Linked DNA regions of Medicago truncatula. The protein of the gene in region 1 interacts with the protein of each later gene in a pairwise test. Links are inferred from orthologs where the notes say so. Each region holds a gene or a part of one and is shown in the gene's direction. Other genes may lie near its edges. The genes, in order: guanine nucleotide-binding protein alpha-1 subunit, G-protein coupled receptor 1, guanine nucleotide-binding protein subunit beta-1 and regulator of G-protein signaling 1.

Region 1 (7,038 bases):
ACTAACAACAGGGGTAACAGTGAATTCTGTCAAACTAAAAAGGACCTAATTGAAACTTTCGAAACTTAAAGGATTAACTTAAGAATTTTGTCAAACTAAAAGTTGTTTAGATGGAAGGGTGGTGATTATCACTTTGAGAGAAAAAATAAGGGGGTTTGTGTTTACTTAAAAACTAGAGGGGATGTTGGTGCTATTAGAGAATAATTTATATATGGAAGGTGATTGTAATTTTTCCTATAATTTATAAGTGCAAAAAATAGATTTCATAAAAGCTTAAATATGCATTTCGTCTCTGTAATTTGGGCATGTTTTGATTTTCGTCCCCGTAAAAAAAACAAATTTAAAAACATCATTGTAAAACTTTTTTTGTTTTAAAAAGGTCCTTGACCCCACTTTTTTTGCTGATATGGGATGGTTTTGGCCACGTGGCACTTGCTGACTCTGCAAACTTTTTCCACGTGGCAGTCCACGTCATTTAAAATTTATTTTTTATTAAATTAAAAAATTATGAAAAAATTCCAATTTTTTTTTAAAATAAAGAAAAAATTGGAAATTATTTTTTCGGAATAATTTTCAAAAATTTAATTTTCACTTTTTTTTACAAAATTTTTAATTTTAACAGTTTTTTCCCGAAATTTTTTTCATAAGTTTTTTATGATTTTTTTTTTAATAATGTGGCATGCCACGCGGCAAAAGTTGCACAGTCAGCAACTGCCACGTGGCCAAACCCATGCCAAATCATAACTGAAGTGGGGCGAGGGACCTTTTTAAAACAAATATTTTTTTACAGGGATTTTTTTTTTTTTTGCAAGGACGAAAATCAAAACGCACCCAAATTACAGGGACGGATTGCATATTTAAACCTTTCATAAAATAATAGAGAGAATTAATCAATTCTATTCGGCATGGATGATTAGGTCTTTAGTTGACTATATGTTAGTGATTTTCTCCGATCTACCATAAAGTGTGTCTTCCTTAATCTAATTTGTTTCTTTGTTGCAACAACAACAACAACAACCAAGTCTTATCCCACTAAGTGGGGTCGGCTACATGGATCAAATGTCGCCATAGTGTTATATCATACACCAAATTTGGATCCAACTCATTGACCTTTAAATCCTTTCTAATGGTTTCTCTAATAGTTTTCCTAGGTCTTCCTCTACCTCTTTTAACTTGACTCTCCTCCATTTGATCTATTCTTCTTACCACGGCATCTACGGGTCTTCTCTCTACATGTCCAAACCTTCTAAGCCTATTTTCTACCAACTTGTCTACTCTAGGTGCTACCCCCACTCTCTCTTGATGGGATAAAACCGCAAGTGTACGGTTCTATCGAAGTATTAAAATAAGAGTATCGTTCCGACATGGAGTTGTTAAATTCAATTAACTTTTGTTGATGATTAGAAGAGAATCAAGTTGCAAAGTTGGGGTTTTCAAAAGGGTTGAAAGATAATAATATAAAAAGAGGCTTGGGATTATTGGTTCACCTTAATGACAAGTCCTTCTCAAACCAAACCATTAAACCTAGAACCTTATGTTATACCTAACTTCTAAAGACAGTTTCTCTTTTGTTCCTCTAGCAACCAAGCTGACTTGATTACTATTAGATTTTGGTTCCTTTAATAACCAAGCCTATTTCGCTGACTTGATTACTATTAGTTCCCTTGAAGATCGAAACTGTATGTATCAAAGATTGCAGAGACTATTTCGCTGCCTTTGCAACCCTTGTCTAAATTCACTTGTTCGAATATCAAAGTTCCACTTTCGTTTTATGAATTGATATTTGAGATGATGGATTAACAATTATCAAACCCTCCACTTTCGTTTACACAGTTGATAATGGTTAATTCATGTTAAAACGGTGAATTTAGATTAGAGATTAGGGTTACATAAGATTAGGGTCAATAGCTTAGTTTGATTAGGATTATGTCATTAAGACTTATCCAGCAATCCCAAGACAAGAGAAGTCTACTCGCTCATGTTCATCGTAGACATGAAGAAGAAGGAGAAAAGCATAAAAGTAAATAACAAGAAAGTAAAGGAAAATAAAAGAACTTTTATTAGAAAGACAATTGTCACTTATTGAATTCCAAGAAAAGATGAATATTAGTGATGGCTAGCTCCTATATTTATAGTTTACATTCGACTTAGAATCTAAGCAATTACATCACTAGAATGTTCCACAAACAACGGGCTTTTTGGTAAAACTAAAATAGAGTAGCTTAAAATCTAAACAAAATCAGCAAAAGGTGTTATGGGAGGTGGCACGGCCGTGCCAAGCTTCTGACTTGGAGGAGACATATTTTTGTCTCCGAATCTTCGTATTTTTGCTCCGAATCAGCTCTAAACCCCTTTCTTTTGCTCCAAGACTCAATCCATTAAATATTCGTTCCTGAAATATAATAATATGCAATTGAAGTAAAATAGTTCAAAAAGGAAATAATATTAAAATAAAATAAACTTAAATCTAATTAAAACTAAACTAAATATTATACTAAAATAGATAATTATTGACTCATCAAACTCCCCCACCCTTGAATCTTTGCTTTTCCTCAAGCAAAAGGCATAGACATAGCAGCAATAAAAAGATTAACATATGACAATTCAAATAAAAACTTATGTCTCCTCTAAGACTTCATTTCAATGTACACTAATCACAACTCCAAGTATTCCTTGTGAACCTATTCAACCCAACAACAAGTCTCAAGTGAGTGTGTGTAGTCCAACCATTTTCTTGCTCTTATATAAGACATATATTATGAGGAACATGTTATAACCTTAACACTAAAGTAACCGAGAAAAGTCCTTTCTTCATTTAAAATAAAACAAAATAAATATTATACCACTCATAGGATTGCACCAAGGGTCTATCCTTAACTCATATGATCGGTTTCTTTTGTTTGTTAACATATTTGCATATTAAAAATGGTTATAGTTATATTGTATATTTAATTATATAATTTTTTTATTAACATATCACAGCCGTATCGTATCTTGATTTTTGAAAATTTTCCGTATCGACGTATCGGTGCAGTATCGTATCTCGTATCTGGGCTTCACAGGTCCCAAGTAATACCTTACTTTTAAAAAATGAATATATACACCAAAATATTTCTTAATAATTTGACCCCGTATAAGTTGTCGTTTTTATGGATTATGACTATTTCGTGATAATTCCCACCTCTGTTTAGCTATTGATGCATAATCATATTTGCAAAAGTTGAAGCTTTTAACACCATAATTGAGTCAAATATGGGCAGAGTAATTCAACATTAAATAATTAAGAAAGAAAAATGTGCTATGAAATAGAGTTAAAGAAAAGAAGAAGACAAAGACTTGTAGTACATAGAAGAATAAGACCACGCATCTTTTACTTTGAATATCTAGAAAGCTTTGGTCGTAAAGTGCATATTGGATCAGTTGAGTACAAAACAAAACAACAAACACAATATTTTATTCTTGAGAGATCAAATACGATATTTGTTGCCTTTAATTTATTCAAAGAAATACAACTTGATTATTGAACATATAAATATTGGGTTAAACATAAACACAACTTGAAAGACAACATCTCTATTAGTTGATTTCTCTATCTATAAAACACTTGTTAGTATTTAACCTATTTTTTTCGTATTTATCGTAATTTTTAGTCACATTCTATTCTTTTATAATCAAAGAACTCACATTTTAATGTGAAAGAAATAAAATCAAATTCAACAATTTTGCTAGCCTCACAATCATTGCACTATTGCTCAAGATGAGATCCTCCTCACATGTTAAAATCTACATAAATAAAAAATGTAAAAAAATTAGATAGAAAATACAAACAATACAAAAATGTAAAATTTGTTGAAGGCAAAATACGAAAAGTTCCATAAAACATGGTTTAATTAACAAACAATATCAATATTATTAAGCTAATCATCTGTATCAAAATCTAACTTAGAGAATCTCACAATTTATGTGCCTGAGTTCGAGAAAACAATAAAATAAGAAAGTACAAGTGGTGGTGTGTGTGTGTTTTTCCAACAAGACACATAGATAGAAAAGTGTTGTCATTCACACAGCAAAGCAGTGCTTACCTGTGTGTATGTATGTATGTATGTTCCTGTCTTTTTCCAATCTTTGACCAAAACCAAACAAGAACAAGAACAAGCCTTACCAGAATCACCTTTCGGCGCTCTTTTTCTTTAACCCCATTTTTCTCATTCTTTTTCATTTTTTTACCAGCTTCAACAACCACCACCATACATGTTTTATTTTTTATTTTTTTATTTTTGTACTCATTATTACCTACACTACATTCAAAAAACCCCAAACTAGTACTATATCTTAATTTATTATTATCACCTTAAAATTAACAAATTTTTACTGTTTTTTTTTTTTTTTTTTTATGCTATTATTATTGTTAATGTTTGTTGTGTTACTACTGAAGAAAACTGAACTTGCTTTTTAGCTTCATCTCCAATTCATCACTCAAATCTAGTTTAACAACAACGACCCTTTTCAGGTAACCTACTTTTTTTATCTTGCATTCTTAATTTCTCTTTCAAGATCCATCCTTTATTGAGAAATTTTATCTGGGTTGTCTTAATTTTTTTTTTTTTGCTGGGGATTGATTTTGCAATTGAATATGTAGATCGAGATGTTTGCAATTTAGCATAATATTTGGCTTTTTTTTTTAATATTTAATTTTGTTTTTGTGATTTTGCATTTGGTTGGGGACTTACGGTACCATTTTGGAGTGTATTATTATATTCTCTTTAACTATTTTGTTAGTTTGCATGCTTATGGTTTCAGAATAATTTGAAAGGGCTTTGTTTTTCTTCCTTTTGTTTGGAGATATTTAGCATTCATAGCTTCAAATGATTTAGTTTAGTTTTTGTGTTGAACCTATCCATTCAGAGCATGTTTTGCTCTGGCTTCAGTTAGGCACCCGCTAGTGGACGGAGGGATTGGTCCCTCAGATTAGTTCGTCCTTAGGCCGGATACCGAGTTAAAAAAAATAAAAATTCTGTTTCTGTTTAGCTATGTACATGACCATAGAGGGTTAAAGTGCTGAAGAGATTAATATTTGATGCTGAAGAGATTAATATATTGAGGAATTTTTTGGGAATGACTAAAAAGGATACTTTAAGACAATAATATAATGCCCCATTTGAATTTCTTCAACTTTTCTTGGCATTTCAATTATCCTCATAACACTGATGGGGTTGTTTGCATCTGATTCTGATGATGGACTTGTGAGGAATTCAAGTCGCACGTTCATAAGTTGTTTTCAGCTTATTTCCATTAACTCTCCAGGATAACTTATGACACTTATACGAAAACAATATTTTATTTCATCTTTTGTTACAGAAATAGTTTATAAATAAGCATTTATATGGTAAACGCTTGTTATAAATGTTTAATTAAACTGTTTAACAGGCCTATAGCGATTTGGGCCAAATATCTTACCTTGTGTATGTTTGTTTTCATGTCAAACACACTCAATGTTTTGCTAAAACAAACACACTTATTGAGAATAATCGCCAACTTCAAATTCAATGTGCCAAACGTCTCTTTTTGTTTTCTGGTGCTGCTGACACTATGCTAGTTCCCTTGTTAGGTGAAATCAAGCCCACTAATGCATGCACACACTACTGCTGGAGCTTGACTAATCATCTTCTATGCTGTGTTTTGTAGCAGAAAATATGGGCTTACTCTGTAGCAAAAGTCGCCGTTATAATGATGCCAACACTGAAGAAAATGCACAGGTCAATTATACTAGATTGAGTACATACTTTTTAAGTTCTTAATAATCTGAAAGTGCTATATTTGATTAAGCTTACATGCATTTACAGACTGCAGAAATTGAAAGAAGAATAGAGTTAGAAACAAAGGCTGAAAAGCATATTCAGAAACTTCTACTACTAGGTACATTTTATTGGACAATTGTCTTTTTATCTTCGTCTTATATGCTTAATGGTCCATGTTTACATTATAAAGTTGAACTTTGCCATTTTGGAATCTACAATGTATAAATGATGACACTTGCCAGGTTTTGAAGGAATGTCTATATTTTTATGTTGAGTCTCACGTTAGATGATATATGAGCTGAAAATGTGTTTATAAGTGAGAGACATCCCTCGTTTACAAACTGGTTTAGTAGGACTGAATTAGGCGTAACCTGAATTCCAAGTAGTATCAGAGCCTATCCAAGATCCGTTGGACCACCTGCTTTCGGGTTATTTGGGTCACACTCTGGATGTCCAGTTTTGGACATGACGGGTGTGTGATGAGAGTTCCACATTAGATGAGAAATGACGTGCAATGTATTATATAAGTGGAAGACATCCCTCACCTTGCAAGCTAGTCCCAACCGAATACCGAGAGTTCATAAGTAGTTTGTTTGTGCAGGAACTGAATTGTTTCCAAACATTCAATGTTCTCGTTATTTTTTTGTCTCCATTATGGAGGAAACTGTCATCTTTGCAGCATAAGGTGTTTTATTGTACTATGGAAAAAGTGTATTCAACTTCCGATTGAGGGTTACTTGATTTCCATATGTATTTTTGATATAAAACCATTTACGAGCTTTCATCTAGTAGCCTGAGCTTTTGGGATAGTTGGTTATTGATATGGCATCAAGTTTCTGACCAAGTGGTCATGAGTTGATCATTGCTGCCTCCATTTTTTCAAATAAAATTTACAGATGAATTTTTTTTAGTATTGATGATTGAGGAAACTATTTTGTATACTCATGTTTTTAGGATTTGGAATAACTGATCAAACAGGAGATTAGATTTTCTTTATTTATCGTAATGACTTCTTCTTTTAAGTTATCTATCATGTTCCTGCGAATAATTGCATACTCATTTGATTGAACCATTTATGCAATAATATTTCATTTTCATGCTTGCTTTTATTATTTTTATGGTGCACTTATTTAAACTTATCAACGATCCCTTTTTTTAGGAGCTGGAGAGTCGGGGAAGTCCACTATATTTAAGCAGGTAAGAAAATGCATTTTCTCCGTATCTTAGCACTGTGTGTGTG
Region 2 (6,868 bases), about 350 kb from region 1:
GTTATTGCACATACACTATACAAATTCTAGATGACTACTACTAAAAAGATAACATGGAAGTCTATGATCTTGATCCTAAATTGTTACAAGAGTAAATACCCTTTGGAGGAATCAGAGAAACATGTTCTAAAACAAGGTTCTTTGCAAAGACTATGTTTATCAGATATAAGCAATTCAAGTTCAAGTCAAGCTATTGAAGATCTTTCAGTTTCTTTTGCTGGTTCTAAACTTCATGCATTCACACTTGAGGAGCTAAAAGAAGCAACACATAATTTCTCATGGAGTAATATGTTAGGTGAAGGTGGATTTGGACCTGTTTATAAGGGTTTTGTTGATGATAAACTTAGACAAGGGTTAAAGGCTCAAACTGTAGCTGTTAAATGTTTGGACTTGGATGGCTTGCAAGGTCATAGAGAGTGGCTGGTTAGCTTTCTGATGCACCCTTTTAGTTTACGAAGCGTATGTTTGGATTGGCAATTGATTGAGCAAAATTACGGTTTCACTATGATTTTGTTAAAGCTCTAAAGTATAGTTTTTGTCAAAATCACGATGGATCATCGGAATTTTATGAATTTCATTGCCGAACCAAACATATGCTAAGATTACTTTTTTCCATGACAAAATACCACAATTTTTGTGGAAAAAATATATCTAAAAAAATGTTGTTTTGAACATATTTTTATTTTCTAGGCAGAGATTATATTTCTTGGACAACTAAGTCATCCACATCTTGTGAAGTTAATTGGATATTGTTTTGAAGATGAACACAGGCTTTTGGTGTATGAATACATGCCAAGAGGTAGCTTGGAGAATCAATTATTCAGAAGTATGTTTCTTTTCTACTTTCTACTTATTTTCTCATCATTTTTTCACTCTTTTCCCAAAAGGCACAAAATTAAATTAAGTAGATACTAAATAATCATTAGGACTTATCATTTTTGGTACATAAACTCACTCAAAGTCAAACCTGATCAATTACAAGATCTAATGGCCAAATAATTTTGATCTGATGTTCTATATTATTAAACACACTTAATTTTTTATTTTTTTTAAATCTATTAGTTTTGTTGAGTCTGATTAGAAACTCTCACACTAACACAATAATTAAGGTTTGCTTCATTATTCTAATATGTTTGTATGATTCATAGTTTACTAATAAGTGGAATCTTGTAAATTGGACCATAGTATGTAAACACAATTTGTACACTATAAATCCTAAGGTTGAATTATAGAAAGGTATAGCATCCGCTCGGTAATGGTAGCCGTAGACGTCTCACTGATCAAATCTCGTGTGTTATTTGTTTGCGTTTTTCTTTTGAGCCGAGGTTGATGTTCTAACATAATACAAACAGGATACTCTGCTACTATGCCATGGTCAACAAGGATGAAAATCGCATTGGGAGCTGCTAAAGGCTTAGCATTTCTTCATGAAGCAGATAAACCTGTAATATACAGAGATTTCAAAGCTTCAAATATCTTACTAGACTCGGTATGTTCTTTTCTCTTCCCTTTCTGTTTTATTCATAAACTTCAAAGATCACCTTGCATCTACAAAATTATCTTCCATGTGGCCATATTAGAAAATTATTAACTTGGACTTTTTTATCTCCCATCAAATCCAGGATTATACAGCTAAGTTATCAGACTTTGGACTAGCTAAGGATGGTCCTGAAGGAGAAGAGACACATGTAACGACACGCGTAATGGGAACACATGGTTATGCGGCTCCTGAGTACATCATGACAGGTATGACTCTACCATACAAAATGTTAACCCTGTTTTATGCTGCTCCTGGCCGAACTCTAGATTATCAGGATTGTTTTCGCTGATAATTTTAGGGTTAAGACGAAGAAAAAAAATTTGAATCTAATTAACCCTTGCCCGATTGATTATATATAGGTCACCTCACAACAAAGAGTGATGTGTATAGCTATGGAGTGGTTCTATTAGAATTGCTCACAGGAAGAAGGGTAGTGGATAAGTCTTCAGAATCAAGTAGAGGGAAAAACTTGGTGGAATGGGCAAGACCAATGTTGAGAGATCAAAAGAAGCTGCACCGTATTATCGACCGTAGACTTGAAGGTCAATATCCTACCAAAGGAGCTTTGAAAGTTGCTATGTTAGCTTTTAAATGTTTGAGTCATCACCCAAATCCAAGACCCTTCATGAGTGATGTTGTTAAGGTTTTGGAACCACTTCAAGATTTTGATGATGTTTTTATAGGACCATTTGTTTATGTTGCTGTAAATGAAAATGGTGACAAAGATACAATATAGTACACCTAAGTAACTTAGGTAAATATTATAGCTTATAAAAAAAAAAAAAAAAAGGGAAAAGGAAAAAAGGAAAACAAAAAAGTTGTGTTACATATATTTTCCTAAGGGACAAGTTTGATTTTCAAAATCATGATGCAAGTAGTTATACATGTGTGACTCGTATAATCACTTCGTCTATTTATTAGAGTTGTTGGATAGAGATTAGACGATTCATATTGTGATTTTGACAAATCAATAATTTAAAATCTCGATTGATGGTTATCAAGTCGATGTTGGTATGTCATAGCCAAAAAAAAATATTAGAGCTGCAGCAAATGTTTCATATGGAATAAGTACTATACTACCACATGGAAACTCAAGTTTTCAAAAGTGGTAAAGGATTGATGAAGTACAAAGGCTTGAAGGAAGTGTTTGCACGGATGTTATTATCAATAGTATTACTTATGTTTGGATGACTTCAAACTCTAGTCTAGAATATACAAACAACTCATCAAATTATAATATATTTGACAAAATTATTGTTGGATTGTGTTCATAGTTTTAGATTTCAAATCATAGCTAGATGAATGGGAATATTTATTATTATTTTTCCCATCCCGCATATTAGTCTCATAGTCTGGTTGTATTTACAAAATGAGTTTTTTTTTTTTGTTGGTAAAATTAACTCATGAGTTTGCTCAATAATAAAAAATGATTTGCTAAGAATACAATAAAAATAGCAAGTTAAGGAGGGAATATTCGTAGAGCTTATACCGTCGTCATATCATTGCATTATTTTGTGATAAGGTCGATATATCATTGTTGAACTTAAAAGGGTTGAGTCAAAAATAAAATAAAAACTTGAAAGGGTGCGCTCAAGTAACTTCTGTGACTTTGTTTTTTGACAGAGTAATTTATGTGGCTTAAAACACTCATTTATCTTATAAATACCTTCTCTAACACCCATTTTTCAATTAAATGAAAGTCATGTGAGTTTGACATTTTAAAAATAATCTTTTGCACCAATTTTTTTTACGTTAATCCTTTCATTTAAAAACATAGACATGTTTAAATCTGAGCTGAAAAAAATATAACGTAAATATATATTTACTACATTATTTATAAAGAAATAAATTTAGTTTGTATCTAACTTTGTAATATTAATTCCTTCCACAAAACTTTTTAATATTAATTAGGGTTAAATTTATTTTTGGTGCTTATAAATATAACGAATTTTGATTTTATTTTTTATAAAAAAGTGACATATTTTTGTTCCTCTAAAAAATTCTAGCATGTAGCAAATAAAACAAAATTGATCTAAGAGGGAGCAATTGTCAAATTGCCCCATGCAATGTAAGTAACAGTTTAGACAAAAATGATTCTACCCAAAATTGATATTTCAAAAGAGTTGTGTTATTTAAACAACCAATTATGTGACAACTTTTAGTACAACCAAAATTTTGCAAAAAAAAGAGATTGTCACAAAATCAATAATGTGAGTATGAGATAGAGATTGTCACAAAAGTTGTCAAAAATTGATGGTACAAATATCATTTCTCATTTCAAAATCAATTAAGTTTTATCGTTGTTTCACAAAACCCAAAAACACCGTTTCAATTTCAACTTCATTTTCCCTTTTCCATATTCACCACTTAACCACTCAACTGTAACTTCAACCAACCAACCAAACTGATCGCCGATCACTCACTCCTCCTCCCGCAATGGCGACCACCGCCGCCATCAGCACCACACTTACCGCCTCCGATCGTGGGATTCTCACCGCAGTAAACGTCGGCGCGTCGAGTCTCTCTTTCGCTGGTTCAAGCTTCATTGTACTATGCTACCTTCTCTTCAAAGAGCTTCGCAAGTTTTCCTTCAAGCTCGTTTTCTATCTAGCACTTTCGGTATGCTTCCTTTTCTTCGCTTCAGATCTATAACACTGCGTTTTCTCTTTGTATTTTCAAAAAATTGCTTCGATTTTTTTTTATTTATTACTTTAAACTCTTCGCACAGTTTGAAATGAAATCACATGATTAAACGCGCTTTTGTTTTTGTTAACTTAGTTACTTAATTTTGTACTTAGCTTCTAATTGTTGCTTATCGTTGACGTAATCGGCCAATTAGAGTTTGGAACGAATTACAGCAGAAGCTGGTATTTGGAGATTTATCAGTTAGGAACTAATTACAATGACATTACATAATAAAGGTTACAAGCAAATCTATAGTAAAACCTAATGGACTCGATTAGTAACTTAGAAACCTAAAGCGCCCAATAACTTATTATCTAACAGTGGTTACAAATGCGGACACAGTTGCTGCAGAGAGCTCTAAGAAATATTTATACTGCACCAGCAATTGCGGTTGCAGACCACAATTTAGAACTTTTAGCAGTGTAATGGTTAAGTTACACCAAGGTTATTTGAGGACTGCTTAATCCTAAGATCGAACCTCAGCGTGACTGTTTTGCCTCCATTTTTTTAGCTTAATTTTCATTGTTTACCTACATTGTTATTGTAATAATTAGGAGTCCCAATATCTTTTAATATGCTTACTGATAGTTATTTATAGTGAGCTACAGAGCTAGTAATTAGAGTAAGCTTCTCTATTTGATATATGCTTTGTAAAACTTATCAGTTGTTACCAGTGTTGTCAAATATAGGCCATGGCGGATTGTGGTGGCGGTGTTTTGACATCTTTCATGGCCAATTTGTGAAGGATTGAGGCGCCATTGCGTTTTATGGCAGATAAAGTGTCTTATGATGGCAGCTTTTTAACTTCCTGCCATGGTCCGCCATCTACAGTTGACAACACTTGTTGTTACCTGCTAGTTATTGACTTCAATGTTGGTGCTAATTTGTAAAACCTACATTTTGGTGATGAAAACTGTTGGTTTTTAGTAAATTTTTTAATCAGGGTACCAGCTTTTGTAATCTTTCTTGTCATTTGTTCCCCTTAGCCACTTTAATTTGAATTTGTAATGCTGTTTTACAATTGAGAAGTAGGTCCTTCGGGAATCATAGTCTGTTCATGTGCATTAGATGATCAGCTATTGCATTGGTTTCACCATGTTCTCTTCTTCTAAGCCATAATGCTCTTTTATGAATTTTCACCTGTTGCAGGATATGCTTTGCAGTTTCTTCAGCATAATAGGGTATACTTGCTAGTTCAAGTGCAATTTTCTTCAAGTGTATGTATCAACTAAATCTGTTCATCATGTGATTGATAGAAGTTTCATTTTGATACAGGGACCCATCCAATAGTTTATTTTGTTATGCTCAGGGATATAGTACACATTTTTTTTGTGTGGCATCTTTCCTTTGGACTACAACAATTGCTTTTACCCTTCACCGCACTGTTGTAAAACACAAAACGGATGTTGAAGATTTGGAGGCTATGTTCCATTTATACGTCTGGGGTATGCATCTATCGACGAATCAACTTTTTAATATTGTAGCTTTGAGAAACGGCGTATTTTTACAATAATCTTCATGTCATGTGATATCCCAATCCCATGACATTTGATTTGAAAATGAATTTCTTGTACAAAGTAATGCTGATGGAATGGCTTTGGTTATGCATGAAGAGTAGGACTTTCAACTAGTCTTGATTTCGTTCAATTCCATTATCAACTTGCATAGAAGAGAGCTCATTTGATGTTTTTTTCTCTAAACTTTTGATAGGTACTTCGCTGGTTATGACAGTTATGCGCTCCTTTGGTAATGACCATAGACATTTTGGTACATGGTGTTTGTCTCAAACAGGTCTTACAGGGAAGGCAAGTAGTAATAGGAACGCAGGTCACATGTTGTTTTCCTACAATTCCCAGAATTTTTTGTTTATTTCATTTTCCACATCATTATTTTGGTTTTACATATGGTATATGATGGGATTTTAATTCAATAGAAGAGGTGTGAGCTTAATATAAGAATTAAATGTAAATTAACTTTTCTAAAGCATGAAAATTTTGTTTCATAACTTTAGCATGGGTTAAGTGTTATTGGCCTCTGCGTGATTTGTAACAACAATTTGTTCTCCATATTAAGCTCTGCTGTTATAGTAAAGATGAAACATTAGGATTTTCATGAAAATTAGAATAAACGCCAAGTAGGGAATCCTCTTTCTTTAATGGTATATGTATCTCAATTGCATGCTCTAGTGTCAATTCTCTCACTCTCTCTAAATCTATGTAATTTGATATCATATAAATGCAAAAAGGATTGGCAATGAATGTAAGCTCCTGTTTACCTACGATAGGATTGTTTTCCTCGTTGCAATTCTTCAAAATTCAAAATAACATATGTAGATTAACATGCAAAGCAGCTAAAATTAACAGCTGTGAAAAATCCATGTGAGCAAATTTTTCTGACATTTTAAAGTTCTAAACAGCATTCTATCCATATTTTTGTTAATTGCTTAGGGATGCTGTTAGATACTGGGTTTGGGCCTAAGCCCAACTAATGTACTATATAGGGGATTTGGTTGCATTTGCTGATGTGGCTAGTTTGTTAGAGGGTAATGACGGTTATATGAAGGATAGGATAGCAAGAGAGGGGAAGTTGTCACATTTTAGTTACGACCTTAGAAGGTTTGGGCAGAGAAATTCCTTTCTCTGA
Region 3 (7,386 bases), on another chromosome or scaffold:
AAGTAAATTAGTCTATTTTAATGATATGAACTAAGAGTTTATAGCTTATGCAAATAAATGGAAAAATTAAAAGTCTTTGTTTATATATTAGTGAAACAAAAAATTGATAGCTTACGCAAATAAATGGAAAAATTAAAAGCCTTGTTTATATGTGAGTGAAACAAGCGTTGCATCATTCAAATAAATACTAGGGGAAAATACACTCTCGTTTTGTATTCGATTTACTTCAAAACAAATTTTCATTCTCGTCAATCTTAGATCCTTAAACCCTTTCCTTTGCTCTTCTATCATTATTTTCTCCACTTTTATTTTTGCAAACAATGGTCTAATGCTATTCAATCTCGTGAAATCCCTGGAGAAACCTTGAATATGTAAAAAAATTATCATTCTAATTTCCTGTCAAAATAGACACCGCTAACTTGAAAGGGGCAGTGAGCGTCTATTTTTTTAAGATACAAGGGTGGTTATTGTTTAATTAAAAACTAGCGGGAATGTAAGTGCTATTGAGTCAAACCTCGGGGGAGGTGAGTGTAATTTCCTCTAAATACTACTTCGCAGCTAAATATAACATATAAACTATAAGCTATATAAATAATTTTTAAGATACAAGGGTGGTTATTGTTTAATTAAAAACTAGCGGGAATGTAAGTGCTATTGAGTCAAACCTCGGGGGAGGTGAGTGTAATTTCCTCTAAATACTACTTCGCAGCTAAATATAACATATAAACTATAAGCTATATAAATAATTTTATTTTAGATTATTTCGACGGTGAGTCAAACAAGTATTTTTTAATAATATAATTTATAAGCTATAAACTAACTTATTGTATTTGCTAAACCGGCCTTATTTACAAATATATTATTTTTAAGAAATCATTGTTTCTTTCATGATTTTTTGATAATTTTTTAAAGTATAAATTTTTATTACAACAGCAATATGTTCTCTTTGAGTTTAGATGACTTAAACTTTCTGTCTTGAGCTTGGAAATGTTAAATGCCCACATAAGACTTGCGTAAGCAGACCATTCACGGGTTGATTGGTCTAAAGAGCAAACACGTAGTATTTGATTAGTAGTCTAGATTGACACTGGTGTCAAATTGTAAGGAATAAAGTTGTTCTTATCCATATGTGATTGAGAATGCTGTCCTATGTTTGGGTTTCAACTGTGAAATAATGAGTACATAGATTGTAATCTCATGACTTTGATTGGAGACTAGCTGGCACAGATAATGTGGTCACAAGTCCTTCCAAAGTCTCAATAATTGTTAGGCATAGTAGAGAAAATGGACCCATAGTAATAGTAGCAGCAAGTATGGTAATGGTAGGAAGATCCTTACTCTTTTTCGATCTCATGGAATAAAGAGGTGAAAAAGTTTCCAATGTCAGTGAATGTACTAGTATGTCTTTACTCTCCTAGTTGCTGTCCACTTTCCTTCAAAAACAAAAAAACTTATAAGCCATAAACTAGCTTATTCTTGGTTGTTCATTTTAACTCTCTATTAATCTTCCTCATATAGTCAAAAAAGTTGGTAGCCGCATATTAATATTTGTTGACAATTTGTATTATTGTATACTATTAGTTTACCCTTTAATATAGAAAAGATAGTTTATGTTTTCGTCACAATATTTATTACAATCTAAAAAAAAAGGTGTAACATAATTAGATGTATATCGGTTAAGAAATAATTAAACCAGTTGAAAATTTGAAATGAATCTAATAAAAGGGACAAAGAAAAAGTTTGAGATGTTCTCATATTTAAGAACATAGTAATAATTAGTGGTATTTGATTTTCTTGCTGATTTTTTGAGCAGGTTGATGCTGTGCATTCTGCACTGAGTGCTATGAGCTACGAGGACATTGAGATTGTGGTTGCTGAGACAGGATGGCCTTCTAGCGGGGACAACAATGAAGTAGGACCAAGTGTTGAAAACGCCAAGGCCTATAATGGCAACCTTATTACCCATCTTAGATCATTAGTTGGTACCCCTTTGATACCCGGGAAGTCTGTGGACACTTACATTTTTGCACTCTATGATGAAGACCTTAAACCCGGACCGGGTTCCGAACGCGCCTTCGGCCTCTTCAAAACTGATCTTTCCATGTCATATGATATTGGCTTGGCCAAATCTAGCCAGCAGGTGAGCGAATTGCTATTTGTTTCTAATTCGGTCACCGAGTCTTAGAGATTAAAAATGAAAATTAGTTTCATTTTTTCCTATTTTTGTTGACAATTCAATTTTTTTGGTTATAGTATAATGTTAAGATATTGGTCTCATAAAAAGAAAGGTTGATAAGATGTTTGAATGATTTTCAGAATCCACCATCAACTAGCCCAGTTACTCCAGCACCCATCACTTCTGCTGGATGGTGTGTTCCTAAGGCAGGAGTCTCTGATGCTCAGTTGCAAAACAATATTGACTATGCATGTAGCCAAGGTATAGATTGTGGGCCAATACTACCAGGAGGAGCATGTTTTGAACCCAACACGGTAGCATCCCATGCTGCCTTTGTAATGAATCTTTACTACCAAACGTTTGGTAGAAATCAATGGAACTGTGATTTCACTCAAACAGCAAAGCTCACATCTCAAAATCCAAGTAAATATCCTCTTTTGATACTTATTCGTTCATTTCTTTTTTTCAATGATGCTTGTTAATAGTAAATACTGATCAATAAAAAAATGATGAAGAACATATCACTTAGCCATGATTCGCAATGAAAAACGCTACATTATTGGAAAATTATTGGAAATAGCAGACTGTCCTTTTAAGTTGTGCTTTATGGCTGTAGGTGTGGTTTGTGGCTTATGAGTGATCTACAAGTTATAAGGTTCTAACGTTTAAGTCTTCAGTAAATTTGACAAAATCACAGTAGTAACATTGTGCTTTTTGTTGAAGTTCTAAAATGCAACTTTTGCCAAAATCATTGCACATGCATTGTAGCTTCAAAAAAAAAATAAATCATAAATCATACATGCATTGTGTTTGTTATCTAACTTGATTTTCCTCCTCTTCTTGGTAGGTTACAATGCTTGCAATTACGCTGGTGGGAGTACCTGAAAAGCAGATGCTTCAGCTTGGCTTTAGTAAATAAGTTTTTCTTAAACAAAGTACTTCATTAATTTAAATTTTAATCAACGAATAAGGGTTTATCCTTGGCCCTCTTTTATTTATAACCTTTTAATTTAGTATGTTTTTAATTGTTCATCGTCAAGGCATGCCAATTCTGGCATGCATACCCAACCTTATTCTAACTTTTTTTCTTCTTAATATTATAGTATATCTTTTAGGTATGAGTATGCGTTGCATAACGTGTGCTTGTGGCAATCCATTTTCATAGATTATTGACGTATCAGTGTGAAAACTGAAGGAAAAAAAATATCAATTTACCGACCTGTTTGTTGCATACAAAATAATTTCATATTATATGTAAAACTTTTTACACATGTATGCAATCGATATCATAAAGTTATGTTTGCAAAAACGAAAATAAGCTACTGTACTACCAGTCACAGATGGGAGTGAACAATGCACCAAAGAGAAGTATTAAATAAAATTTGATGTGTCATGAAAGTTGCTCTTGAGGATTTATCCGCTTGATGTGTGCAGGGTAAAACGCAGTGGAGTTTCAAAACAGAAAGACAGAAAATCTAAGCAAGAGATGTATGTAACCCGCAAACGTTTTGAAGAGAAGTAAATAATGCAATTTTGGAGTACTGATAAATGATATTGTATTAAAATTACATTATAATTATAATTGCATCCCATGCTGCAATTTTGTAGACACAAGAATAATCTGATATGATCAGTCAGCTAACTCATACAAATGTCTTCTAAAATAATTAATGATGCAAATAAAAAGGATGCGATGCAAATTTATCATGCAAGTGGGTAAGATAAATTAAAGCTTGATTTGCTCAAAATAAAAATTAAAAATTAAAGCTTGATAAATTTCTAAACACCCAAGGGTAAGATAAATTATGAAGTATGAAAGGATCAAGAGCATAAAAACGAGAACTCTATATGTTTTTAGTATAGTAAAAATTTCAAACTAAACGGATAAAACTAAAGCAAACGGATTATATTTAAAAAAAGGGATAATATATATCAAAGTATGAAATTATGAAGTCAAATATAATATTGTCATTGTTATCCCTAACACTATCAAACTGTCTCGTTTGTACTTTGTAGTGTGCGCACACGGTGAAATGTCAAATATAATAATTGGGATAAATTGACACAAGCATCCGATGTCGTCCAGCGGTTAGGATATCTGGCTTTCACCCAGGAGACCCGGGTTCGATTCCCGGCATCGGAACTATTATTTTTGTTACCTTGGAAAGCACAAAACAAAACGAAATGAAATAACAAAATTACTATCCGTTAATTATCGTCGTAATTAAGTTTAGTTCGATCCATCCATCCATAGAAAAAGAAGCAAAGACAGATTCCATTCCAAATAACACAAGTGACAGATGGAGGAAGTGGGCCCGGCGGCGTCAGTAAATAATAAACAGTTAGTCCCCACTTGTTCAACTTCTTCTTCTTCTTCTTCTTCTTCTTCTCTTCACACTTTACATCTCAACCATTTCTAATTGTAAATTCATATTAATTATTATTATTAATTAATTAGGTCGTGGTCATCGTCCTTTTTCTTCAGAATTTGAATGAATCAGTGAAGGAAGACCTAAAAAAAATGTCAGTTACGGAGCTGAAGGAACGTCACATAGCTGCAACGGAAACCGTCAACAATCTCAGAGAACGTTTGAAGCAAAGACGCCTCTCTCTTCTTGATACAGATAGTGAGTTCTGAGTTCGAGTTTCATTCATTAGATCTATTTATCTTCTAACTCAACAATTTCTCTTTGTAGTTGCTGGCTATGCAAAGTCTCAAGGTAGAACTCCCGTTACTTTTGGTCCCACAGATATTCTTTGCTGTAGAACTCTCCAAGGTCATACCGGAAAGGTTTATTCCAATTTCTACTTTCTTTTTTGCTGAATTTAACACTGAGTACTCGTAGTAGGTAGAATTATTCAAATTTCTTAATAGGTACCAAGCATTCCGTAACTGAGTTAGATTCATTTACTTTCTATCTATGATAGATAGCAAGGGAAGCTTTTGATTTTTTTTTTTTTTGCTTAGTTGTCAGATATGCGCAATTGTGTTTTTATTTACCATTGACGAAATTTTACAGGTTTACTCATTGGATTGGACTTCAGAAAAGAATCGAATTGTTAGTGCATCTCAAGATGGTAGATTAATAGTATGGAATGCTCTAACAAGCCAGAAAACTCATGCTATAAAGCTTCCTTGTGCATGGGTCATGACATGTGCTTTCTCCCCAACTGGTCAATCTGTTGCATGCGGTGGCCTTGACAGTGTTTGTTCTATTTTCAATCTTAATTCACCCACTGATAGGGATGGGAATCTAAATGTTTCAAGGATGCTTAGTGGACATAAAGGTTATGTTTCATCTTGTCAGTATGTTCCAGGCGAAGACACTCACTTAATTACTGGTTCTGGTGATCAAACATGTGTTTTATGGGATATTACCACCGGCCTGAGAACATCTGTTTTTGGAGGTGAATTTCAGTCTGGACATACTGCAGATGTACTTAGGTATTGTTTAAGTTGTTTTAATAGTAGCGAGATCTATATGAAAATCAGTTGAGCATAGTTTTTTTTAGTATGGGATCATTGCTAAGAAATATTTCTTTTCTTTGCTCACTCTCAGCATTTCCATTAATGGATCCAACTCCAAAATGTTTGTATCTGGTTCTTGCGACGCGACTGCCAGATTGTGGGACACTCGTGTGGCAAGTCGAGCAGTGCGGACATTTCATGGGCATGAGGGTGATGTTAATTCTGTCAAATTCTTTCCTGATGGAAATAGATTTGGAACTGGCTCAGAAGATGGAACTTGCAGATTGTTTGACATTAGGACTGGACACCAACTTCAAGTATATAATCAGCAACACAGCGGTGACAACGAAATGGCACATGTGACCTCCATTGCATTCTCCATATCCGGAAGACTTCTGATTGCTGGATATACAAATGGCGATTGCTATGTTTGGGATACTTTATTGGCTAAGGTAATTGTTGCTTTAGTGTGATTATGTAAAACAAAAGTAGGGTGTTTTCTTTCTGCTCATAGCCTCGTACCACAGTGAACTGGGGATTACTATGTTTGCGACACTTTTGGCAAAGATAATTGGTTTTTCAGTTTAACCTGAAATGACAGCAGGGTGTTTTATTTCTACTTATTATGTTTTGGGAGATTTTATTTCGAAAGGTAGTTGGTGCTTTAGTGTGACCTAAACCAACAGTTGGGTGTCTTCTTCTTACTTGTTGCTTCCTACCTTAGCTTTTAAATGGAACATATGCTTCATTGTGGTTGTTTATTTTCAGTGTGAATCCAACTGCCAAATTAGAATTCTTATTGAGTAGGTCAACTCTACAAATTTTTATAAAATTTCAAAACTATTTGACACTTCATCAAATAACTCTACTTGAATGTATAATAAGCTTCTTAAAAGTATAAAAGTAAATGTTCTCTAAAAAATTACATAGGTACAAATTTTGAATTTATAAGCAATTTGTATGTTTGATCATTAATATAATCTGATACCGATCGACGGTTGGATTGGTGAAATTCTATGTTTAGAGATATTAAGAGGAGCAACTCTGCTCATAGTTACTCTGGGAGTAACTTGATCCCACCTCAAAGAACATGATGTTTCTGGCTTGGCAGCGAGGAACTGGCTTATATAGAAAATAAGATCCTTTGTGATACGTACTAACAGCATGTTTAGTTTCTATTAATTAATTGTTTGCTTTACTTCTACATGCGATTTGGGGGTGAGTTCTGGTTTCATTATGCTTTCAACATTTCAATCTGTGGTGGCATTGTGTTGGAATAGGACCTCTGAGTCTATTAATCATGATGAGTTCACTAGGCATCATCTTGTATATAAATTGGCTCATAATTTTCTGATATTCTTTTTGCTATCACAATGTCTTTTGATGTGGAGCTTTTATACCGCTGTTTATTTTATTTTGCACTTCTATTTATGTCTCAAGTCATTGCCTAAGACCTTGTTTTGTGGGCCAGTAAAAGCAGTTAATATGAATTATTTGAAGGAATTTTTTTTCTTATTTTGAAGGGAAAATTGAAGGTTTATCTTCTAGTTGAGATTTTTCTTATTTTGGAAAAAGACAGGAGAAGGGAGGCTGAAAAAGAGTGGTTGTTCCAACTCCCATTAATATAGACTTAGGAGTATATTAAATCTCTGACTTGGCAAACTTGCCATATTTTTTGAAAAAAGAAAAACTGAACAAAAACAAAATGCAATTCTGTCTTGTAAAATCTAGTCATATCATG
Region 4 (7,485 bases), on another chromosome or scaffold:
GCTGCCAAAAGAAAATATCAAAGTGATTAAGTGCATATATTAAGAGTTTTCTTATTTACGCAGGGATCTCTTGGCAAAAAAGCATTATCTCCTGTCCCATTGGCTGCTCATGTGCGAAATATGCGAAAAGGATCTAGTGACCATCTTGCACTAGATATTGGTGGGGAGTCTGATCAATTAATCAACAGTGCTGATACCGATGATGATAAAGGTATTTACTAGTTGCTCTTCACTGTAAATTGTTTGATTTTAAAACTTGAATACTTAATAATAGATTACTTTGCAGGTCATGCATTCAAGTCTCTGAACACTTCTGGATTCGTACCGAAACAAGGAAAGCTCATTGCAGATCGTATTGATGGAATCTGGTAAGTTGCTATTTTCTATACATCATATTTACCTTTGGTTAAGCAGGAGTATTTTTTTTTTTAACGAATAAAGTAGAAGTATTTTTAGAATTGCCTGTTTCAGCATTTTAACATGTAACCGCGAAAGGCAAAAGCACTCTTCAAATTTACATTGCAAAATAGATGTCGCTTATTTGTAATGTTGAACTCAGATGATCTAAAATCCTTAAGGTGGTGTTTCGCGTAGAATATCAAACAGCTTAACTCTAGACTAGAGATGATGTTTAGTGGTAGGACCTAGAAGATACTTACACTCATTGGGAAAGATCCTTAAATGGAACATGTATAGATGTACTAGACCATTAAACTGATGCAGGGTATGTTATCATCCTTGGAGTAAATAAACTGTAGGCTTTTTTAAGAACATTCAGTTTCGAATATGATTCAAGACAAATAATTAAAATTAATTTATTGGTGCTTGTTTATTATATTTGAAGGTAAAATGGTCGAAAAGATTTTGTTTAGATAACTAAATGATGATAATTTAGTGATTCCATCTTTATTATATCAATGCTAATAGTTCCATTAATTCAATTTAAATACCTCAAAATTCAAAATTCACATGTTTTATTTATTTATCATGAAAAATTCAGTCATTTTTACCATTAAATTTTTTAATGCTACCAAACACACTTATGTTGGGTTTGATTTCTTTATGCAGGGTATCCGGTAGTAGGGTTCTTATGAATCGTCCCAGAGCAAGATTAGGACTCATTGGCTATTTGCTAATCATGCATTTATGGCTACTGGGGACGATATTGTAGAAAAATTGTGCTCTAGGCAATCTGGACTACTCAACACTTATGTCCTGCATTTGCAAATTGTAATGTAGATAGATATAGTAAATGTCATTTTGCTTCTGAATGAAGCCTACCCTGTTTTTCTTTAGTCTCATCACACCCTCTAATAGTTTTCTCTGCAATCACATTTTAGGGATTCAGAGATTATAGTTTTCATGTCTGGGTTCAGTTTTTTATAGGCTTCAATTATTTTTATTGTAATTGCAACCCTTACATTGTATTTGCCCTACATTTGTTTCAAAATTAAGGGATGTGGTAGGTAGGAAATAGGTAGATGAATTTTTTCACTTGTTAGTATAATAAAACTGTAGAGATATTTCAAGAGTGCCTCATTTCTATCTCAAGCAATGAATAAAGACATACTGAGGCTATTTGAAGATATTTGTTTCAACGATGCCTTTGAACTTGAAGCATAGGTATTTCATATCGACTTAGAAATATTTTATCATTTTTTAAGTTTAATTTAAACAAGTACTTTTATCTTCCACGTTTTATTTTATAATTATTTGTTCAACATAATTTTATGTACATCCTCTAAAAAAAAAAACGTAAGTTAATGTACATCAAAGTACAGATTATATTTTCCTTCTTATATATAATTAAAAAAAGAATTGATCATGCAGCACTGTTGCCACCTTTTGCAAGAATCTTAGAATTTTTTTAATCTGTTGACTGCTGTCCTAATTATATGGATAATATGTTAATTTATTTACCATAAATAGTTATCGGTGACTTTTTAACGGAAACAGAGTGTTATTAGAGGGTTAATATTGTTAAAAATGTAGATTAAAATAGCTGTAATGATAGTATAATAATATTAACGTAAATCCAACAGCTAGTTTTCGCTGCAGTTTGTTTCTCATTCTGCAGCCTTTATATAAAATGTTGTATTTCAAGCTTTTTCTTATTCAATTCCACCTCACATCTTTTATTTCTTTTTAATAATTAATCTTCATTCGTTTTACTCATAATTCTAACCATCTTCCAAGAATTTCTTCTGGTGTTGTTGAATATCATCACAAAGCAGCTTCAATCTCATGGCTTCGGTATGATCTTTTTCCCTCTCCATCCTTTTCAATAATCATGCAATGCATGTTGATTTTTGGTTATGTCATTTACTTTCTCATTAAGAACAAAATAAAAACTTATGAATGTAATGTGTATGGAATCCGTATTCAAACATTATTTTGTTAACGTTAATCCGATCATTGAATGTCTTTTGTTCAACAAAAATTGTTAAAGAAACATGTTTTTGTTCTTTCTAACGAAATTAGAAAGAAAAAATTGCTTTGGCTAAATATTAATTTTAATTATTTGGTGCTGTTTAAAGCAACATTTAACGTGATGTCTAAGCAACTAATGTGAAATTGAAGAGTTTAATTTTCAATCAATCAATTGTTTTGGTATTGATGACACAATGTATGTGCAGTATTCAGAACAAGATGGAAAGCCTCTACCCAAATTTGGGGAATGGGATGTAAATGATCCATCCTCAGCTGAAGGGTTTACTGTTATATTCAATAAAGCTAGAGATGACAAGAAAATTGCTTCTGCATCTGGAAGATTTCCTTCACAACGACGATATGACTCTCGCACCGGTCGCACCAACGATAATAATAAAAATTTAAAGGCTTCCTCAAAGGTACCTAATAACAAACTTGTATTATTGATGACAATAATCAATAATAAATTGTGTTAGGTTATTGTGAAGCTGGGTGATTTATTTACAATTGGTTTTGTGTGCAGAAAAAATGGCTTTGCTTTGGCGCTTAGACGATGATATAAAGATGCATATGTAGTTTTTGATGTCGGCACATGTGATTACAATTAATCTCATCAATACGAGGCAAAGGGGAGAAACTTAGAATGAAAAAAATAGTTCAGCTTGCTCAAATCATCCGCGTAGCTTCTAGATGTTGATTTTATGCATCAAGCTACTTTATTATACTCCTAAGCAACATTAAAAGTTTAATTGTAAATATATACGCTAATCAATTCAACATTTTTGGTATATATTGCTTTGAGAAACAGTGTCTTTTTATTTGTTGCTTTTTTTATAATTTTGTTGATGATGGTATATTGTAGTACTATTTTTTTTCTTCAGGAAATTGCTGATGATAGTATAATGTGATGTATTATAAAATCATTGTTAAAATCACGACCAATATCTTTCTGGTTCAACGAAGACAAAATGGGATTAATTTAAACCAAAAGCATATATAGTTATTAATGTTGATTGATGACCAACTATCGTTGATTTTTTTTATTTTTTTATGAACAAACTAGACTAGATTTAGTGATGCTGATAATTAAATTCTTAGCTCATGGGCTTCTAGATGAAAGACTTATTTTCTTATTCATTTACATTAATCCTCTTTTGCTTTATAATATTAATTAAATATACCATTACGTCATTTAATTGTTTTTCATAGATAGTAGAATGAAAATAATATTTTTTTGAGGAAGTATATGAAATAATTTTGTATAAGCAAATTTTCCTTCAATTGTTTTTTTGTATAAGCTAATTTGTTGCGTACAATATTTTTTTTGAGAGGAAGTATATGAATTAATTTTAAATAATCTATGATGTATTTTTCTTTACACATTTGATTGAAAAAGCATTAAAAAAATAGTTTATCTAACATATATTGCACATGTTAAAATAACTAAAAGTAATAATTTTTTTTTCGTTGAAGGAAAAATAACAAGTTTTTATTAAAAAGCAACAACTATTTATTAAAAATTTATATTATTTGATATAAAATGTATAAGATTCAATTCAAAGTTACTATTTTAAACTTCTTACCTGATATAAAAACCTTTAAAAAAACACAACACAAGAGTGTTTGATATTCCGGAGTTAAGTGAAAAGTAAATAAAATCCGATTAATTTCTTTTTCACAATTATACTCAAATAGTTTGGGGGTAATAATTATTTTCGTTCTGTAATGACTAGTCACAATAGTCCATCAATGTATCAAAATTTTAAAATAGTCCGTGATTATGCATTATGTTCGTCAAAATAGTCTCTGACTATTTTAAATAAGTAAGTATATTGGACGACTATTTTAACGTCAGAGACTATTTTGACCAACGAAGTGCACAATCAAAAAATATTTTGAAAATTTTTAGACATTAAAATGACTATTATGATTATTCATTAGATTAAAACAACTATTACCGCTATAATTTGATGTTTATGTTAAGCTTATAAACAACACAATACTTTTTCTTTTTGAACACTCCTAAATCATAGGCAAATACTGTGCACTACATACATACATACAGTAAATCGAAGTGTGAAACAAAAGAGCACGTGGAAGTGTTGTTGACTAGGAAAACAAAGAAAGAACAAAAAACAACATTGTCTGTCAGCTAAGATTGAATGCAACAACAACCTGATGAACAGAAACTGAATCTGCTGTTGTACTTTGTACCTGAGTCAGATGAATGGCGAATTTCAAGTGTGCCGTCAAAGGTGGCTGTCCCACTGATTATGTTGCTGTTACCGTTTCCATTCTCTCCTTCATTCTGTAAGCTTCTCTCTTTCTTTTTCTGCCTAATTCACTTTCTAATATAACATGTTTGATATTATGCCTCTATCAATTTTGAGCTTAACAACTTCTAATCTTACTTATATTTCCTTCACCCCTTTCTGATTTACCTTTTTTCTTTTCTTTTTTTCTTTCATGATTTATGTGATTCACTTATAGTGTGCTTTAGTTTGGCCTTTAGACCGCTTATTCAACAGGTAGTTAGGTACTTATTATGACACATCGTCACCGATAATAATTTGAGAAAATTGAACATAACCACATGTGCTGGTGTTGTGTCGGTATCTGTCACTGACACATGTCGGACACCAGACACGCTTATGAACATATCATCAACTATTATGGTAAGCTCTTTAAAACTATTACCCAAGTGGATGTGTCATAAGTTGAAATAAGCTCTTCCAAACCCTCTTAACCTTATTGTTGAATTGAAGCATCATTTGTTTTGAAATATAAATTGAGCTCTTAAACTTATGCATATTGTATCGGTAATGGTTGGCTTCTATCTTTCAGGCTTCTCATATGGTCAATATTTCCCTTCATAGTTCACAAGGTTCCTCGTACTAAAGGCAGTGGTTTCTGGATACCTGTAATTCAAGTTGTTGCCAGCTTCAACCTTCTTCTATCAATTATGGTAGAAAAAGAGTTCTTTATGTATATGTTACTGATTTTCTATGAAAAAATAAAACAATATTCGTTGTTCAGTCGTTACAGTAGTAAATGGTTAGTATTGCCCTGTTTGTTTTCATGCTTAGCTATCTATATTTTTCTTAATGCAGATGTCACACAATTTCTTCAAATTTGAAAAGAGCCATTGGTGGCAGTCATGTTACTTGTGGGCAGGTTAGCTTCTTGCCGTCTATTCTGACTTATTTATACTTCATATTTGAACATATGAATATTTGTTACTTGTTAGCATAACCATACTTTGTGTTTATTTCCAGTTTGGGGTGAAGGTCCACTAGGGTTTGGTTTGCTGTTGAGCTCTCGCATAACACAAGCATTTCAGTTGTATTTTATTTTCGTCAAGTAAGTGACTACCTGATATTCAGTTGTTAGGCTCTATAGCTTTCAGATGCTTCCTTAGGTTTTTCACTTTGCCCCTTGAAATTTCTACCTCCACCCTTTTTTTGTGGCGCGAAAATATAACCCCTCATTTTCTCTGTGTGTATTTTGCAGCTTTTTATATGTACTCACCCCACTGCTTAACAAGTGCTAAATGAGTTACCGTCCACTTGTAAGTTGTGTGCTGAATTAAATTTCTTTACTGCTATTTCAGGAGGCGTTTACCGCTGATCAGATCATTCCTTTTAATTCCACTTATTCTTTTGCCCTGGATTATAGGTGCTGCTGGTAAGAATCTGAATTAATTTTAAGTTACTTTTTGCTTTTGTTTGTGTTACATAGACTTTGCTGCTGGGAGTAGAGGTGGCTATAAATTTATCCGTGTACTTTGATGGTTTTTCACCTGTAGAGTTGCATTTTTTTTATCTATGTTAATGTGATGTATTGTGTTCTTTCAAAATTTTGCTGGACATTGTCTACTTCAGTTGAACGAGTAATTCGTTTTTGAAATCTTTCTGCAGTAGCCAGTATGTACTTAGTATTCGCAACATCTTGTGGAATTTCTAGAAATGATTGTCAGAATCCCCCTTTGCCTAGCTTAAGTTGCCATGTTGCTGTATTTATTTCTAATGAAGCTGTTAATTTTCTCTCCAGTTATCCATATAAAGAAGCCTCTTAGCAATCGCTGCCACATGTCAGTTCAGTGGACCATACCAGTTGTTTGCCTTCATGCGTTGTATGTTGCCACTTTGGTTGGGGTAACTGCTGCTGTGCATCATATAGAGTTCAGGTTTGATGAACTCAGAGACCTCTGGCGAGGAATACTTGTATCATCCGTATCCGTTGGTATACTTTTTCATACTAATATTAGACTAAGAATTTGTCTGCTGCCTGTTTGAAAGATGGTAAAATCTTGAGTAAGTTTTGGGGGGATGAGGACACTGATGCTACTGATAGCACATTGGAACCTGATACTGACCATGAGGCTCACAAGAGCAACTGTCAAAGCTCTCTGGAGCATGATATAGACACAGATGGTACTCTAGCCAATTTGAAGGAAACTCACTCTGCTGACCAGTACCTTCTGCAGCATTCTCATGAAGATGGTTTTATTAAACCAGGCAAGAAAGGCAGGAAGAAAGCTGCTAAAAGTAAAACCTTAGATGGTAACAGTACTGTCAGAGTTTCAACTAGACATAAGAAGACTAGTGTTCGCCTTAAGGAACAAGCATGAAGTGCATCTATTGGCTTATTAGGGGAATTGGGAACACTAAAACTCAAATTCAACTTAAACAAATGGGCTTTTCAAAATGCTGTATAGAGATTCATTAGGTTTACCATTAACTAGAATTGTTATGGACTGATCTTGTACGAAGGTTCAGGCCTCTCCTGCATTTATTTTAGTTTCCAAGCTTGATCAAAAATTAAAATAAATAGGGAAACAGACCATAATATAAAAGGAAATATGAGAAGAACTAATCCCAAGATATAATCTAAGATACTCTAAATTACTTCAAGATATTGCAAGATATTTTTCTTATATTCTAACTTATATTTTCTGGATATCTCAGCTTGGTGGTCTCAATAATTTAACCTATGTTCATTTCTTGTGTCAGCTGTATGGGTTACTGCTTACATACTTAATGAAATTCATGACAA

What was found.
Region 2: the proteins of guanine nucleotide-binding protein alpha-1 subunit (region 1) and G-protein coupled receptor 1 interact in binary tests that used the Arabidopsis thaliana proteins (3 or more experiments, as listed by UniProt). The link is inferred for Medicago truncatula from reciprocal best matches to the Arabidopsis thaliana genes GP ALPHA 1 and GCR1.
Region 3: the proteins of guanine nucleotide-binding protein alpha-1 subunit (region 1) and guanine nucleotide-binding protein subunit beta-1 interact in binary tests that used the Arabidopsis thaliana proteins (3 or more experiments, as listed by UniProt). The link is inferred for Medicago truncatula from reciprocal best matches to the Arabidopsis thaliana genes GP ALPHA 1 and AGB1.
Region 4: the proteins of guanine nucleotide-binding protein alpha-1 subunit (region 1) and regulator of G-protein signaling 1 interact in binary tests that used the Arabidopsis thaliana proteins (3 or more experiments, as listed by UniProt). The link is inferred for Medicago truncatula from reciprocal best matches to the Arabidopsis thaliana genes GP ALPHA 1 and RGS1.

Annotation. Positions count from the first base shown.
Region 1 is NC_053042.1:4,088,634-4,095,671, reverse strand, and holds the start of guanine nucleotide-binding protein alpha-1 subunit, read left to right. Parts: upstream 1-4,032; 5' UTR 4,033-4,510; intron 4,511-5,608; 5' UTR 5,609-5,669; coding exon 5,670-5,756; intron 5,757-5,843; coding exon 5,844-5,916; intron 5,917-6,957; coding exon 6,958-6,995; intron 6,996-7,038. UniProt on the Arabidopsis thaliana protein: Exhibits a fast rate of basal nucleotide exchange. Guanine nucleotide-binding proteins (G proteins) are involved as modulators or transducers in various transmembrane signaling systems.
Region 2 is NC_053042.1:3,734,652-3,741,519, reverse strand, and holds the start of G-protein coupled receptor 1, read left to right. Parts: upstream 1-3,854; 5' UTR 3,855-3,976; coding exon 3,977-4,159; intron 4,160-5,374; coding exon 5,375-5,406; coding exon of another isoform or gene 5,407-5,442; intron 5,443-5,500; coding exon 5,501-5,670; intron 5,671-5,935; coding exon 5,936-6,030; intron 6,031-6,868. Other genes in the region: serine/threonine-protein kinase RIPK, read left to right, coding at 31-423, 691-826, 1,353-1,489, 1,623-1,746, 1,900-2,276. UniProt on the Arabidopsis thaliana protein: Together with GPA1, may regulate the cell cycle via a signaling cascade that uses phosphatidylinositol-specific phospholipase C (PI-PLC) as an effector and inositol 1,4,5-trisphosphate(IP(3)) as a second messenger.
Region 3 is NC_053044.1:57,900,592-57,907,977, reverse strand, and holds the start of guanine nucleotide-binding protein subunit beta-1, read left to right. Parts: upstream 1-4,379; 5' UTR 4,380-4,517; intron 4,518-4,524; exon of another isoform or gene 4,525-4,634; 5' UTR 4,635-4,697; coding exon 4,698-4,803; intron 4,804-4,872; coding exon 4,873-4,967; intron 4,968-5,196; coding exon 5,197-5,621; intron 5,622-5,736; coding exon 5,737-6,097; intron 6,098-7,386. Other genes in the region: glucan endo-1,3-beta-glucosidase 7, read left to right, coding at 1,814-2,140, 2,317-2,599, 3,024-3,061. UniProt on the Arabidopsis thaliana protein: Guanine nucleotide-binding proteins (G proteins) are involved as a modulator or transducer in various transmembrane signaling systems.
Region 4 is NC_053044.1:42,433,000-42,440,484, forward strand, and holds the start of regulator of G-protein signaling 1, read left to right. Parts: upstream 1-4,464; 5' UTR 4,465-4,657; coding exon 4,658-4,740; intron 4,741-5,274; coding exon 5,275-5,395; intron 5,396-5,540; coding exon 5,541-5,604; intron 5,605-5,705; coding exon 5,706-5,790; intron 5,791-6,040; coding exon 6,041-6,114; intron 6,115-6,480; coding exon 6,481-6,672; intron 6,673-7,442; coding exon 7,443-7,485. Other genes in the region: golgin subfamily B member 1, read left to right, coding at 64-211, 287-368, 1,069-1,171; protein NOI4, read left to right, coding at 2,245-2,253, 2,637-2,849, 2,954-2,980.